2 linked regions of the Yarrowia lipolytica genome follow. The protein of the gene in region 1 interacts with the protein of each later gene in a pairwise test. Links are inferred from orthologs where the notes say so. Each region holds a gene or a part of one and is shown in the gene's direction. Other genes may lie near its edges. The genes, in order: YALI1_F11553g and YALI1_D03990g.

Region 1 (9,055 bases):
GAGGGGTATGTTGTTATTACGGTTGGTCTGGTGATAAACTGCACATCAGATTATCACCAAACCAGCCGAATAGGCAATAGAAAACAGTTTTGACATGGTAAGCGGATCTAAACTGGCATGCTTGTGGAACGCATTCCTACGAGGAGTTCCACGGAGCGTTTTTCGAGTAAGGAGGGCTCCGAGGTGGGCTTTTGGGGGTAACTTTTTTCTCGTATGTATCCCCAAGTAAATATCTAATTATAACTGAGTATTTACTTGGTTAAATACGCGGGAGGTGAAAGAGCCATCTGTGTACCACGGGAGAATGGAGCCAGCTGTGGGGTTGCCGAATTGAGTAATACTCGTAAGAAATAGATTCTCGCATAGCTTCTTAACAGTTTTATTGGTCCTCCAAAGTGATCTTCTGGCGCAAGATGAGTATGTACATACAGTAGTATTTCGATATCCCAGGACAGTTAAAACAGACCAAGTGAGATCAGCACGTGACATACTTGTAGCTCATATTATTTGTACAGATAATTGTGGCAGAATCAACTACATTTTGCATCTCTTGTATAGTAACCGTAGATAGACCACACAGGACGATGCGTCCAATCCGGAACATACTCCAAACGGTGAAACAAAAGTCCCCTGGCTGGAAGGTATAAGAACTGTCAAGCTTGGTGAGATTGGGACGCGATATAACCGAAAATCGTTACATATACCTTCTCTGTTTCTTTTATAACCCCTTCAAGATGTTCAAGATAGCAGGGAATATCATATTTCCAAAGTCAACTAATTGTTAACTAAATTCTCTTATGGCAGTGCCGTGTTCGGTCTTATCCAGTCCCATCAGGTCTCTAGCCACCATAACTATCGTAACATGCTACAATTGTAGCTTGGAGTACCTGTAATGTACCAGTACATACTGTAGGTACCCGTACTTGTACATTGGATCTCTTCAGAAGTACATTTGAGACATCAGCAACCTCGAAACTCCAATTGGCGTCTCCAGACAGTTTTTCACCTCAACTAGTCACCCACTAAAGTCGTCAACCCAAGCCGATTAGATACCTTGGCAAGATCTGGGAAGTAGCTGGCAGATGCCAGAAGGATGATAATGTCTTTCAACACCCCGTCCCCACGAGTCTACTACAATCTCCTATTGTTCTCGAACGGTCCATTGACTGACTCTAGATCCTACTGCACACTCAATGCCTCTCAGCTCTACATGAATAGAAGTCGCACCTATTAGCACCCTTGACACCTATAGCAATCTGCCAAACTCCTTTCAGATCACAATTCCAACTCTCCAAACCAAATACATCTTGTGCAAGTGCGAGTACACAACGAATATCGTACATCTAAGACATATTTGTCGGTCGATTCAATCTTGCTCCGCCGTCGGCCCTGCATAATCCCACCTCCGTATTGTAGGTTAAAGAACAGCGCCAGTATATGGGGGGGGGGGGGGGGGGGGGGGTATTGTAGACACGTGTTTGGAAGGGGTGATCGGGAGGGTTAGTCATCAGAAGAACCACTCCAACATGGAATTTTCAAAACCACCAATATTTCAAACCCGGCAAAAATATCCCTGTCTTCCAATATTACAACAAAACATTGTCTTCGCCCATCCAGTGCAATTGCGCCATTGCTGCGCATGCAGTGAATTCAGAAGCCAATTGAGTTGCCGTAGCGTATAACTATTTGCTGCGACGCAAACCATACACTTCCTCTACATCCACACACACAACATGTCTTTCCGACTCGCCACTTACCTGCGAACCGCCAAGTCTCTGCGACCGGCCACTCTGCCCGCCGGCGCCCGATTCTACTCCTTCAAGGCCGAGGACCAACCTCGAATCCGAATCGGCTCTACCGCCCCCAACTTCTCTGCCCAGACCACCGGAGGAGATATTGACTTCCACAACTTCATTGGCGACAAGTGGACCGTGCTGTTCTCTCACCCCGCGGACTTCACCCCCGTGTGTACCACCGAGCTCGGCGCCTTTGCTGCTCTCAAGGACGAGTTCACAAAGCGAAACGCCCAGCTGATTGCTCTGTCTGCCGACGACCTGCAGTCCCACAAGGACTGGGTCCAGGACATTGAGGACACCTCCACCTCCGGCAAGGCCTTCGACTTCCCCATTATCGCCGACCCCGAGCGAAAGGTCGCCTTCCTTTACGACATGGTCGACCAGCAGGGCTTTGAGAACATCAACAAGGGCATTGCCTTCACCATCCGATCCGTCTTCATCATCGACCCCAACAAGAAGGTGCGACTCTTCATCACCTACCCCGCTTCCACCGGCCGAAACTCGTCCGAGATTCTGCGAGTCCTCGACTCTCTGCAGCTCAACGACGCCACTGGCCTCGTCACCCCCATTGACTGGGAGGCCGGCAAGGACGTCATCATTCCTCCTTCCGTCAAGAACGAGGATGCCAAGAAGAAGTACGGCGACTTCAAGGAGCTCAAGCCCTACCTCCGATTCACCAAGGACCCTGTTAACTAAATTGGCGGCTAGCCCGACGATATTTGAATGAATTATAACACTGCACGCGTGTACAGTATGTACCTACGTAGAATGGGCGTACACCTCAGACACAGGCAGGTGTGTCTGTACTGTAGGTAGTATAGTGATAACCTCAAATTAAGCAACAGCAGTATGGAAAACGAGCAACCAAGCAAAAAAATAGCTGGAGCAAGAAGGATATAAATCGTTGCTCGATCAAAAAAAGGAATCTCCGATACCGGGAATCGAACCCGGGTTCTCCGCGTGAAAAGCGGAAGTGATAACCCCTACACTATATCGGAAAGCTAAAATGTAAGGACCAAGTCGCTTACTAAGGGCTTGGGATGGTGCCGGTCACGAATCACTAGAATAAAAAAAAAAAACGTGCATGTGTGACTGTGGCTCCCAACTGGGACCCACCCGGAGGATGGTAGTATAAGAAGGACATTTATGTATGATTAATAAGACAAGTTATCACCAGCCTGTGAACGTATTACAGACAGCGAGCAACGGTTAGGTTAGACAGCGACAATCTACCGACTGAGAACTATTCCGCAGATAAGAGACGATCGGATCTTACATAAAAAAAGTCAAATTTCGGCTGTTGACATATCGCGTCTGGATCACATGATCTTAAATAACTTTAAATTTGTGAATTTTTCAAAAATGGGAGATAATGAAATAAAAGGGGCTGTAGAGGGGTATAAAAGTGAATAGAAACATTTTGAAGTGCTCTAAGAAGCATGTCAGAATTACTTGATATGCCAAAGGCAACAATTTCCAGGAAATATAGCCCAAAAGGACGTTTAGGGGCAGTGCTGGACTACACGTCCTTATACTAGACTTGTACGAGACACACTCAGTTAACAGACATATAAAGAGAGAAGTGTGCATTTTGTAGTCTTTCGGATCACTTGGAATGTCTCCTTAGGTGGTCTCATGCCCGTATATACCCGTATATTTCCCGAACAAGGGCTGTTCTAAGAATAGATATTATGAGCTCTAGCATCATCTAAGCACAGTGCGTAGAGTTAGCGTTCCAGCAAACGTATCCAACAGGTTATGAGTGAGGAATCTGGCCGTCGTGCTATCAATCTATATCACTATTCTGCCTCTCATGTCCATCTCATTGCTGATCAGGGATTGGTATAAGTACTGTAGTAGAGTTTTCCATGTGTCCCAATTGGGCTAATATGCGTCCATTTCTGGATGGTGTAATGTAGGGAGATTAAAGGGGGTGATACGGAGTGTTCCTGATCGGCGAAGTGGATGTTTTTTTGGTTGATTATTTAGCGGCGAAGGAAAACAGGGTCACGTGACAAACTCCTTGGCAATCACGATCGCTGGCGGCCCCAAAATACTACCCCTCCTGGCCATCGCGAAACCGCTCCCAACTGTAAATTCACGCGTCTTTTGTAAACAACTTTAACTGGCTTGGTGCAGCAGCAGTAAACGTCTAACGGTCAGACCTACAGTAGTACACTTCAAGATACACAGCTCCTTTCTACCGACCCGTGATGGTTCCCTCGACTCCCTCACGGCGTCCCCAGCGCCCCAGGGGTGCCCCACAACACCTGCGTCACTCGTCGAGCTCATCCAGTTCGTCGAGTGGCAGTACGAGAGACAGAGACATGGTCAGCGCTACGCCAGCCCAGAAGGTCAATGGCAAGGAGCCGATGAATAATTATGTGAGTGCGAATCGAGTTGTTTGGAGCCAAGCAGCTGGTGGCAAAAGTCGACTGAGCAGGATAAGTTGACTTGGTAAGGTCAGATGTTCAGGGCATGAGAGAACATGCGAGAGGTTCAGCAACATAGGGGGTGTGCCAGGTATGGCAGGATGATATGGCAACGGTGGAGGGATAAGTCGGATGTGGGGGTCATACGAATCAACTACTGGTTTCATTTGTGTGCTATTTTGTTCAATTTGTCGTTCTATTATGAAAAGACATCCACAACTTTCCACCGGTTTATGATCGTACGCAGCCCCTTGTCACTGCTGTTGACACAAATGCCAGCTTTGAAACTCATTCCTAGTACTATCTCTATACAGCAACTGGCTTCATTGTGGTGGTTGTTTCAACTGTGGTTAGGCTGAATGGTAGCTCCATGTTCCTTCTGCTCCATATCCCCGTACTGATGCGTACGCCGACACGCACTCCTCTCTTTCGCTGACCCTTCCTTCACCATTACCAACACACATCAATGCACATGTGCTGTATGGCCTAGTACTCGTCTGTTCGTTCGTGCTAACACAGACCCTCGGAGACTGCCTCGGCAAAGGCGCCTATGCGTCCGTCTACCGTGCTCTCAACTGGAACACCGGCGAAGCTGTCGCCGTCAAACGGATCAAGCTCTCGGACGTGCCTAAAAAAGGTGACGTCGACACCATCATGATGGAAATTGACCTGCTCAAAAACCTCAACCATCCAAACATCGTCAAGTATCACGGCTTTGTCAAGACCCAGGATACCCTCAACATCATCTTAGAGTACTGCGAAAACGGCTCATTACACTCCATCTGCCGCAAGTTTGGCAAGTTCCCCGAAAACCTCGTGGCTGTCTACATGTACCAGGTGCTCAAGGGTCTGGCATACTTGCACGAGCAGGGAGTGATTCATAGAGATATCAAGGGTGCCAATATTTTGACCACTAAAGATGGAAACTCGAAGCTGGCTGATTTTGGAGTCGCAACAACAACCATACTCGCTACCGGATCTGTGGAAAACGGAGTGGCAGGTACACCCAACTGGATGGCCCCTGAGATCATTGAGCTCAATGGTGCTACCACAGCCTCGGATATCTGGTCTGTGGGATGTACTGTGATTGAGCTGCTCACAGGCAAACCCCCCTACCACAACCTAGGCCAAATGCCAGCCATGTTTGCTATTGTCAACGACGATCATCCTGCATTTCCAGAAGGAGCGTCTCCTGCAGCTCTCGACTTTCTCGGACAGTGTTTCCAAAAAGACCCCAATCTGCGAGTGACGGCCAAAAAGCTGCTGCGACATCCGTGGTTAGCTGAAGCGAGGACCGATAGCGAACGCAAACACGTCAGTGGGCCTCCCAAGCGATATGATGAGGTTGTAAAATCCGTGGAGCAGTTCAATCAAGCAGTCGAAGAGACTCCACGAACACCCCATCGTACTCAGGACGACATTTACGCTTCAATTCGCAAGTTTTCGCGCCAAAAACAGAACGAGATCACGTCCTCGGGCCATATCGAGAGTTGGGACGACGAGTTTGTGGGCGAGCTAAACCCCCGATCTCCACATATCATAATTACCAAGCGAGAAATCACTCCTCCAGGTTCTTCAACTTCTTCCAAACCAATTCCCTCCATCACCAGTGCCTTGAACAAGGCTTCTAGAGGCAGTGTCTCCAATAAACTGCCGAGCATCAGCAAAGCCACGCGCCTAGATCCAAAGACCCCTGTGCATTCAAGAATTCCGATTGAGAACTCGCCTTTTCGGGACGTGGAGGATGACGATGCGTTTGCGGACGGCTTCAATGTGGCCGATATTTCCACAGACGACCTGAAAAAGAGGTTTAACAGCAGACAAAAGCCTACTGCCGCAGAGGACAAGTCTACAGATTACGCCACGATCAAGCTGAAGCAGTTCTGTGAGGAGGGAGAGGATGAAGATGACTATACCAGTATGCTTGGAGATATGGTAGATTTGACAGTAGGTGCTACTCCCAAGTCACAAAATGCGTACCCGGCGTCGTTTTCGTCTTCGGACAAATCCCATCATTCGGACGACGAAGATCCATTTGCTGCTCTTGAGAATGAAACGAGATTCTCTCCAGAAGACATTGAACAGAACATTGCACGTGATAAGCTTGCTACGGCGATGCGCACGGCTGAGCAGCATGTTGGAAGACTCAACAGGGTGCAACTGACGACTTCCGAAGTCCAGGATATTGTCCCTTCTCTTATTGACCTGTTGCAGCAGCATCCTGAGACAAAGAAGACAGTGGTCAAGTGTCACATAGTACTGCCTTTGCTGGAGCTTCTGGAGCGGTTTCAGACCAACGAGGCGGTTGTTTGCGGTGTCCTATGCATTTTGGTGCTTCTTATTGATGATGATGAAGCTGTTCTTGAGAGCTTGTGTTTCTCAGGAGGTATCCCAATCGTCACAATGTTTTCTACCACTCGATACCAGTCTGAAACTCGTATTCAGAGTGTAGCCATTGTTGATAGACTCTGCAGAGGCTCCAAACTGGCTCTCCAGATGTTTGTTTCTTGTGGAGGTCTCAACATGCTGTCGCAGTTGATTGAGGAGGACTTTGGTTTGCATCGTGAGTTTGTATTTGTGGGAATCTACGGCGTGGCCAAGGTGTTCGAGGTGCAGGGGAGCGGTATGCGAAACGACTTTTGTCGAATCCTTTCCCGTTCTTTCATTCTCGACTCTCTGGTGGCTATTCTGAGACAGCTGGTAGACGACTATGAACCCGATGAGTACCCCACAGACACCTCTGGATACTCGGACACGGACTACATCAACAAGATTATGAGCATTCTGACCATATTCTCGCAGACAGAGCCTCATGTCAAAGAGACTATTGCTTCTCGAGCTGTGTTCAAGGGGCTCTTCAAGTGCTACAAACGTCTACCGACACATCACCGAGTCACCATGCTCAAGTTCATCAAGAGTGTTAGTGCCGTTCACACCGCCCTTGAGACCATGCAAAACTCCAACGTCATTGAGTACCTTGTGGACTGTCTCAAGGACTGCACCAATATGGCCAACCAGCATTCCCGAGACCTGTCAATCCAGATCTACCACACTCTCTTCAATCTGTGTCGATTATCCCCTCACAGACAAGACGAGGCTGCCGAGTGTGGGGCTGCCCCATATCTTCAGGCAGCAGCTCTTTCTTCTTTGCCCGTCAAGGACTTTGCTCTTCCTCTTTTGTGTGACATGGCTCACTCTTCCAAGGCAACTCGCAAGATTCTGTGGCGCCACGATGTGCTCACAACATATCTGCGTCTACTTCCGGACCCTTACTACCAGGTCAACGCCATGGATTCTATCATTGTGTGGTTCGACGATGAAACAGCTCGTGTGGAGGAACGTCTAATTCGAAACACCTCTCTCGACCTCATCACTCACTCCTTCTCGAACAACTCCAGATCCACGGCCTTTGAGCAGTACATGGACCTGTTCCACAAGTTGTTGCGGCTGAGTCAGCGTGTCGCTGTGGCTCTCACTGGGCCTATTCTGATCGGTTTCCTGTCGTCCAAGCTGGAATCCAGCAAGCCTAGAATCCGGCTGACAGTGCTCAAGATCATCAGAACCCTCGTTGAAGCTAACGGAGACGATTACAGCTTCCTGGAGAAGCACGATTTGGCCAAGCAAATCGCTTACCTTGCAGCAAACGAGAAGTCTGTTCTCGCTAGAGGTCTAGCCAAGGAAATGGCTGAGGGCAAGAAGACGAAGTCACGAGATACAATTACAGACATGCCTGCTCCACCAGTCAAGAGATACGATCCTATTCCCACTCCGAGCAAGAGAGTGGCTTCGGATTATAGACCGGCGGTGAAGCATCAGGTGGGAAACAGTAGCTCGTTTCTCTAGGAAAGCTTTCGAGGACATTGTCCACGAAGAGGGACGCCACCATCTCATTTACAATACGATACCATACCAAACAATACACAAGACTCTGTCTTATTTATCATATAACATTAATGCATTGACAACATACAACTGCCTGTATCGATGCCTATGATACAACATATCACAATTGAAATATCGTAGGAGTCTCTCCCCACACTCAACAAAGGTCGCGATGGTAAATATATATTTTAATATGCGTTTGAGAGGCAAGTGTGATGCATATCATCCGTTGTTGGCGTGTGATACGAGCTAATAAGAAGTGGATTGAAGATGTGTGTAGAGATATAGAGTCTTGTCAAGATTGAAAAGTGTCTTACCTCCATAGATCATCCTTGACTTGTGTGCCAATTAATGTCTCTAGGTCGATAAAAATCCCACGTAACATTAAATCGTCTTTCTCTCGGTGAGACATTCCTGCATAAGCGAGAACCTTACTACCTTTCGGTTGTGTTGAAAATCATCCCCCTCCTCCTAAGGATACTGAAGAGTTGACATGTCCAAGCATCTCGGAACAGATACATGATGTACTGTATTCTTACAAGTACTCGGACTTTTATATCTTCAGTGAGAGTCTCACTAAAACCTACATTACTCAAACTGTGTGTAAAACGCTGTCTTGGTTCTTGAGTAAGCAGGTTGGAGACATAACATAGAAAGCCGAAGAGGCAAGAGCAAAAAAAAAATGGTTTAATTGCAGCACCTAGGATTCTCGTATGGTCCTCCCCACTACAATACATAACTAGGGCTCTCTGGTTGCTTGGACTATGGCTTGATCGGACGGGGAAAGCCGTATTTTTCACCAAGGGATATGGCCGCAACTGGCGATAAATGTGATTGAACCTAGTAACACGGCTATGGACGTCACGTGATTAAATAAAAAAATGAATCATTAGAATAAAAACAAATAATAAGGAAATCTGGTTCAATAGGGCTATCTTGTAACCT
Region 2 (8,217 bases), on another chromosome or scaffold:
TGATCTGGGGCCAGGTCTCGGACTGGGCGGCGTCGGACAGCAGGTTCATGATGATAGTTCCCTTGCCAATGGCCTCGTTGACGTCAAAGAGGTTCTTGCCGGGGACCCAGCCGTCCTCCTGAGCGGCCTTCCACGAGGCGCCGTCCTTTCGGACTCCGATGATGACGTTGAGGCCGTTGTCTCGCATGTTGAGACCCTGGCCGTAGCCCTGGGAGCCGTAGCCGATCAGAGCAATGGTGTCGTTCTTGAAGTAGTCGAGCAGCTTCTCCTGGGGCCAGTCGGCTCGCTCGTGGACAATCTCGTCCTCCTTTCCGTTGAAGGAGATGGTCTTGATGGTTCGGGCCACGGCGGGGGCGGACAGCTTGAAGGCGGGTCGGGTAGCAGCCATGGAGATGGGATCGGGAGGCAGACACACGGTGGCCAACTCGGGCAACGGCGGGCTCGAGAGCAGCCTGTCGAGAGGCAGTGGAGAAAAGTCGGGCAGACATTACTGTGGTGTTGTGTTGGGGGGGATTGGTTGTGAGAGAAGAAAGAGAGAAAAAATCGGCGGACTTTCAGCGTCGTTATATAGACCACGTTGGGCACTTTGGAGCTAAGGTTACAGTGCTCCGACAACAAGGCGATTGGGAGCAGATGAAAAGTTTAGGTTGGCAATTGGCCAATCGGGAGGCCGCAAATCAGATCAAGGTTTGGCAGCAGTCTGCCGATGTCGCTGGAGTGGATTTACGGTTTGAATTTTGCAGCGAAAAAAGAGTCATGGATAGATGCAGACAGTGAGTGAGTGATATGCCGATGGTGATGCCGATGTGGATGCCGATGTGGATGCCGATGTAGGGGCCGATGGGAACGGCGAGGCAGCAGCGGTGACGAGCGGTGACGAGCGGTGACGAGCGGTGAGACAGAAGCATTGAGTCATGGAGCTGGGTGGAGATGGGGTACAAGATAGGTGGTGGTGACTCACTGTACATCTGGTACTACTGTATTACGTACTACAGGTACAGTAGTATGGTTAGATCAATTGCTCTGTCTGCTGGAGTTGGCTGGTGTCTGATTGTCACGGGATTGTTAATACATCCAAGAGTTGAAGATTCCGTCATTTTTCAGCGACGTCGTTGATGAGGTTGATGGCGTTCAACCACTTGTAATCTCGGCCGGAGTACAACATGGTCCACTCATAACCACTCAATTCGAGCTCTACATCTAGCCGTCCACTCGCTACCACACTCTCTCACTAAACTCACTACACCCACTCCATCATCTTACCCCACAATTCTCTCGCCTCCAGACAGACTAACAAAGACCATTATTACACTTTTAATAGACCGGAGGTGAATGAACAGCCCCGTCGGAGGGTTAGTTTAGCGACACGCCAGTGTCTTAGATCCGATCTGGGCCAAGATGGATGCCAGAGTCCAACAGATCCGGACTTGGGGACAGTCTTGTAGGCGACTTTCGTACAGGCTTCAAGGAGGAGACTCCCAGTACAGTACTACAAGTAGTCGTAGTATAAGAGTGTCTGTGCTGCCACTTTCAAGTTTCATACAACTGTACCTGTTAATCTTTCCCCATAGCTGATGAGCCTCTGTTTCTTATAGACCTACCCACTGTCGTAATCCCTGGATCCCGTACTATATGACAGTCAGTAGGTATACTGTACTTCAACGTCCCCCGGACCTCCATTGTTCCCTGAGGCTCGGTGATATCGACACTCCGAAAGCTACCGATATCGCTTCTCGACAGCGACATTGTCACCACTCCAATCAACTCCGCTCCCGCTCCTCTCGCTTCCCCATATCTCGCGCCCACAGGGCCGGCATAGAACACATTAGGTTTCAACAACCGTTGGTTCGAAGGCAATATCTCGGTCAATAGTTGGTATAATTCAAAGCGGACTTTACCATTGGACTCCTTGAGCTTCCCTCGTTCTTTCTCTACCCTCGGATCCGATTACTTACTAAAATTCACCCTGCTATTCACATTCCTCGCTCCTCCCCCCCCCACATATGCACTCACACTCTAAGCTCCTCGGACGCACCGAAACCGATGACGGTCATAGCCGTGTGACCGGCCACAGCGAATTAGGTCCAGAGTGCATGAATACTGCCGGAGTTGAGCATCTCACTGAGCGTGACTCTTTGCGTGAAAATTTTAGACTTTGGTGAAAAATATAAACTCCACGCCGATATCGCTCAGGCACTCAACCCCCGCCCGATCACACGCAAGGGACTCTTTGTGGAGCGACAACGGCGTCTTTAGCCGATTTTGGGGGAGCACGTGCCGCAGCAAACCTCCGTGCGACATCGTCGGTGTCGCCCAGAAGACCATGTACCTGATCAGAAGAGCTCCAGATCAGACCCAAACCTCACATAGCCTTGCTCTGCGTGTCACATGCCTCGGCCCACGGTGCATGATTCAGGCCGCAATTGGTGGGGAAAGTGAGATAACAGCTCGGGCTTTTGATTGGTGCATTAGTCACGAGAGGTGGATGATTAGTCAGGAGACTCCAGTTGGTTGTGGTCCGGTTTCCTAAGTGTGCAAATGTATATTTCTCGCAATTTAGTTGGGGAGATACTAGACTCACACTTAGCACTGAACACTTTTCTCCTGGAACTTTTTTCGGGACTCCGCCTCCTACAAAACCAATATATGCACGGTGCAGATCACAATCAAACCCCGCAGAGCGCTGGCGAGCTCGTGCATGACGGGAAATGACCAGTTGGTGGTGTTCTCTCTGATGCCATATGTTTCTGGTGTCATATGTCGCTGGTACGATCTACCAATACTTGTGCAGTATGTACTGTACATACTGGAAAAGATGTTGCTGGTATAAGACAGTCCAAGACCCCAAAGCTGTCAATTGTGGACGGTAGAAGAGAAATATAAGTACAAGAACGGTACTTGTAGAGAGATTATAAGTCTTCTAAAGAGATGATCAGATCAGACATGAAAATCTCCAGTCTTGAAAAATCGTGCTAATTGTGGTTTAAATGTGTAGAAGCAAGAATCGAACCTGTGCGAGTACAGATGTACTGTAGTGGGCGTGAATCTAGGCGACGATCGATACTGTACATCTTCAACTCATTCTCCTACACTCGACAAAAATATTCACGTGATCAGTGTCGCGAGAATCGTATATTCACGTGATTCAGAGCACTCGTACTCGTATCGATAGTATCGCCGTTCCTAATGTCACGTGACAACAGTCGATTCTGTCGTGACCCTCAATTAGGAGTACCTCCTTGTAAAAGACCGACCTCATGTGGATCAGATTGTGTCCGCGACTTTCCCGTCTATCACGTGACTTTCGTTTTAAAACGTGACTTTCCGGCGTATCACGTGACTTTCCGGCGTATCACGTGTCACACTCCCCTTACTTGTAGAGGCCCTACAGTTTGTAGCTGAGTAATACGATACTCGTATGTACCAAACTGTATAGCTCAACCAGATCCTCTACCAACCCCCCCCCCAGGTCTGGTCACGTGAATAGTCACGTGTCCAGCCATTCCCATGCGTCATTATGGGGGTTCTCTCGAATATTGAAGGAAAAAAATATCGCCGATATTGCACAAAATATATAAACAGAGATTGCCCGGTTGTATGTACAGATTTGTACAGTCTAAATTGGTGACATATGTCAAAACTCTGAGACCGGGATAATGGCCAAAAATGGCATGAAATCAGGCAAAAAAGCGCAAAAGGTCTTGTGAACCGCCAAACCACGGCCTCTAGACCACATTGATGTCTTCTTCTCATCACCACCACGTCACAATGCACTGACAACGGTAAATGCGCGTTTTCAGCCTCATTTATGAAAAGTAAACTATTTACAAAACAAATAATACCATTGTATCCCTCAAAGAACAGCGATTCCAATGGCACCAATTTAACCACCATCCAACGTCTTTTGGGGCTACACTGGTGAATATTTGACATACCCCTAGATGGGATTTTTTAGGTTGGCCACAACAAGTGTCATAGCAACGGGTCACGTGGGAGCAACGGACGTGTTTGCGGTCGGATTTACGCGCCGAAAATGGTCACGTGAGAGACAATTGCACCACAAGTCACGTTCACCTTCCATGTCTACTCCAGCGCCCACAGTTGCCGATTTACGGGAATTCCGCTCAAACCCTAATCCAACCTACACCGTATCAAAACACAACTCCACCACCATCACGAACCCCACAGCACTAACAATATCCAGACTTATTTGCAACCATGGAACAAGAGAAAACGGTGCCTGTGGACATGAATGTGCCACACAAGAACAGTGTGTCGCTGAAAATTGGGCTCATTGGAGACGCGCAAATCGGCAAAACGTCGCTGATGGTCAAGTATGCCGAGGGAAATTTTGACGAGGACTACGTGCAGACTTTGGGGGTGAACTTCATGGAAAAAACGGTGTCGATACGAGATACGGAGATTACGTTTCTGATTTGGGATCTGGGTGGCCAGCGGGAGTTTGTCAACATGCTTCCGCTGGTGTCCAACGACTCTGTGGCGATTCTGTTCATGTTTGATCTCACGCGAAAATCGACTCTCAACAGCGTCAAGGAGTGGTACCGGCAGGCTCGGGGGTTCAACAAGACGGCGATTCCGTTTCTGGTGGGCACCAAGTACGATCTGTTTGTGCAGTTACCCAAGGAGGACCAGGAGGAAATCACCCAGCAGGCCAAGAAGTTTGCCAAGGCCATGAAGGCGTCGCTCATTTTCTGCTCCACGTCGCATTCCATCAACGTGCAAAAGATTTTCAAAATCGTGCTGTCCAAGGCGTTTGACCTGAAGCTGACGATTCCGGAAATTACCAACACTGGCGAGCCCATTTTGGTGTACCAAGGTGTTGGTCAGTAATTATTTATAGCGAGCAGGCGCAACCTGTGAGCCAGACAGGAGGATGAGCCGAGGAGGGGTGGATGGGCCGAGGAGGATGGGTAGAGCGAACCAAGCAGGAGGACGACCAGACAGGAGGAAAACCAGGTCGGAGGATGAGCCGAATTGGCAGGAAGGCACAACAGACCCGAGCACGCCCGAACACGCCCGAACAGACTCAGCCTAGCTCAGCCTGTCAAGTGGACATCTGAACAGTAGAAATGAAGCATTGACTTGGAGTGATGTGTAGGTTGAGATGTACCAGGGTGCCTGGTAGGTAATGTAGATGTAAACAGTCTAGATTCTCTATCGAACATCTGGATGATCTGGATGATCTGGATGATCTGGATGATCTGGATGACCTGATTGAATCTGACTATGATTCTTTCTCTGCTGGGTGGACATTTTGTCGGTCTTCTACTTCAGGTTTTCATCGATACACACGGAAAAGCAGCTACAAGTAGAAGTAGGGACACGAAGAAGCGATAGAGACCGACCGGCAGGTTTTTCATACTGGGGTGTTACTACAGTATGTACAGTAATTAAAGAGCTCTTCATGTAGAAGACCAGAATCGGTCCTATTGATGATCAAATATCTCAATAGAGCAGAAATTTGAAGTGCTCGATACCGTAGAATTGCCTAAGGTGTTTATATATGGTCCACAGCACAATGCTACAAGAACAGGACAGGTCCATATGAAATCATTGGAGGGATATTTTTGCAATTATCAAAGTATTAGATAAGTTTTTGAGAGTAAATAAAAGAAAAACCATCTTCGACGCCTCCGCTAATCTTGCAAAACATCTTTATAATTTTTTTAATAACATATTTATATTTCCAAGTATGTTAACTTGGTAAGTTTGTTGGGTTTAGTTGGAATGACAGGTTCATATAATGGTCTCATTTCAAGAGGTTGTAGTTGTAGTGACAATAAGACTGAAATAACGACAGATTAGTACTATAAAATGGGTGAAATGGGACAGATTGTACATTCTTTTATCGCAACTTTTAGTGGAAAGTGTGTTGGAAAGGATGTAAAGTTACTCCAAAAACGGTCACCCATATTTGACAGATACCGAAGTTTGAGTGGGCACATGGCTGAATGAGGTCGGCCGCGACATCTCCATTTTGTATATTAAGTAAGTATTTTTCTGGCATAATACTGATAATGAGATGTATTTTATAATAAAACATTCTCAGATTTCTCTTATCCATCCTATGACATCGGTTACAACAATATCTCGTTTTGGTTTTATCTTGGTTTAATCTCTCAATCATAGTTGAGAACCTAGTTGGAATTAGTTAGCCTGAAACAACAGGACACAGCTCGTCTCATCGTCCACATTTATTTGAAATAAACGCTTAGAGATACACAATTGTTTCTATTGAAGATCTCTGTGATATTCCCATCTTCTAATATCCATCGCTGTCTATTTTGTAGACACTTGTTACTTGACGTTACTGTTTTGTACTGTAGTAAATCCTCAACTGTCTAGACACCTTAAACTACAAGTAGACCCACCACCTGAACACACTTTTCCTCCTTCACACCACTTTTTCAACGGCACAGACACCAACAAAGCGGCAGATGCAATCATGTTTCGTCTCCAATTCGCTGTTGGTGTTTGTGTTGGAGTGGAGTGGTGGCTATAGGTGGCGATCTCCAAGTGGAGGAGCTGCGGTTGTGAACACGGCAAATGGCAGAACAGAGATACACAGATGGACTGACCCAATTGGTGTTAGTATCAACGATAACCCTCGATTGTCCTGCTTCTACCCCATCAAAGTGGACTTGGCGACTTCAGAACGCGATCTCGACTGTTCCTTGTATATCTCGAGACGATCTCACTGAGTTCTGTCGGTTAGGTTCTACTGATGGACTGCTTCACAGAACACTGATACGGATAGGGATGTTTGGGCAACTACTCATTCGCACACCCATGTGCCAAGTCAGAACACAGGGTTCTTCTGCCGCCACGAAGAACTCAAGTTAACACTGCTGTTGCGTCACGAGACGTTGTGTCGAGAACCTGTGGTATGAGTCCTTTGACAAGCCAGGGTGGCATCATGACTGAAGGGTACAGGAGTCGAGTGTTCAGTGTGCTCTACGTAAGGTTCTTATCTACAAGTCGTCATCACAGGATGTTTTTCTGAGGTACAATAGAGCACAGGGGCACACCAGAGTTCAGGGAGCACTCCAGAAATCAGAGCACACAGTCCCTACGATTCACATTGCCTACGACAGACATTGCTCGCCACAGACGCGGTCTACAGCGGACACTGCCTACGATACAACTGACACTGCCTACAACAGACAATGTGGCGCACAAGTTTACTGGAAAGATCCCATTGTTCCAGCCCCAGTATTATGCGCCGTTTGAAGACTGCGTCGACAAATCGGGCTGTGTGCATTACTGTCCGAAAAGTCTCGCGGGCCAACGTCGCGGCCAGATCGTGTTTGTTGCCATAGCTACAGCTGTACCTCAGTCTCAGCTCTGCTAGAACCAGTCCACCAGCCTCACTACGATACGAGTCGAAGGTATATCAGCCTTACCTATTACCCTGAGTCAGGGGTAATAATAAAAGAGAGCGTGCTACTGGATCTCGCAGTATTCTGGGTCTCCTATGAAACCACTGCACCCCTTGCAGGAGGAGGAGCTATACGAGGCGGTTTAGGCGCAGCAAGATGGGGTGGTGTCTCGTTTCAGGTTGATGAGTTGGGATGTCAGAATTAGTTGAGAATTACTTGGGACGAACTTCAGCAACTCGAAGACTTTTCCAGACCTCCAAGATAGTCTTACAACTGCGAGTGCAATACACAGCAAGTCTTTCCCGGAATGACGTCATCTACTCACTCTCCCCACTCCCCCCACTCCTACGAGTACTCTCCTCACTCGTGTTACGCGTGTTATTTTTAACCATCTGTCTTTTCTTGCTTCCTCCCGTGCACGATCGTCGGTAAAAAAAAACGGCTCCGGTGCATTCTTTTGGCCCGTTTCTGTGACTATTTTTGGCCCGTTGAAGTGAGATGACGTGTGTGGACTCAGAATATGCATGCGTTTGAAAAGATGACGTTCAAAGTGCCTCCTATCTGTCCCCCGAGCACCCCCGTGACAAGAGCCAGGTTGATACACGCTAATATGATGACCTCCATCTCCACACGGGCTAAAAATAGCCCACATACGAGATGCGTGGAATAAGCGAGCAGGGTAGGGGTTCGAACCTACAGTACAGTGGTGTCTCTTTTTGGGAAGTATGTAAACGGGAGAGAGTTGGTAGAGTTGGGTTCTATTAGTCTGTGGTGAGCTGAGAGAGATTGTGTTATGATATAGCCGTGGTGTATACAC

What was found.
Region 2: the proteins of YALI1_F11553g (region 1) and YALI1_D03990g interact in a two-hybrid assay, tested with the Schizosaccharomyces pombe proteins (3 studies listed by BioGRID). The link is inferred for Yarrowia lipolytica from reciprocal best matches to the Schizosaccharomyces pombe genes cdc7 and spg1.

Annotation. Positions count from the first base shown.
Region 1 is NC_090775.1:1,150,993-1,160,047, reverse strand, and holds YALI1_F11553g (uncharacterized protein), read left to right. Parts: upstream 1-4,123; coding exon 4,124-4,180; intron 4,181-4,747; coding exon 4,748-8,071; downstream 8,072-9,055. Other genes in the region: YALI1_F11583g (uncharacterized protein), read left to right, coding at 1,734-2,492. UniProt on the Schizosaccharomyces pombe protein: Protein kinase essential for cell division. Plays a key role in initiation of septum formation and cytokinesis.
Region 2 is NC_090773.1:394,856-403,072, forward strand, and holds YALI1_D03990g (uncharacterized protein), read left to right. Parts: upstream 1-4,218; coding exon 4,219-4,843; intron 4,844-4,899; coding exon 4,900-5,081; downstream 5,082-8,217. Other genes in the region: YALI1_D03952g (uncharacterized protein), read right to left, coding at 1-388; YALI1_D03987g (uncharacterized protein), read right to left, coding at 3,451-3,933; YALI1_D04017g (uncharacterized protein), read left to right, coding at 6,908-7,014, 7,060-7,274, 7,322-7,605; YALI1_D04030g (uncharacterized protein), read right to left, coding at 7,714-8,217. UniProt on the Schizosaccharomyces pombe protein: GTP-binding protein essential for the induction of septum formation at G2 and pre-START stages of mitosis. Acts via the cdc7 protein kinase pathway.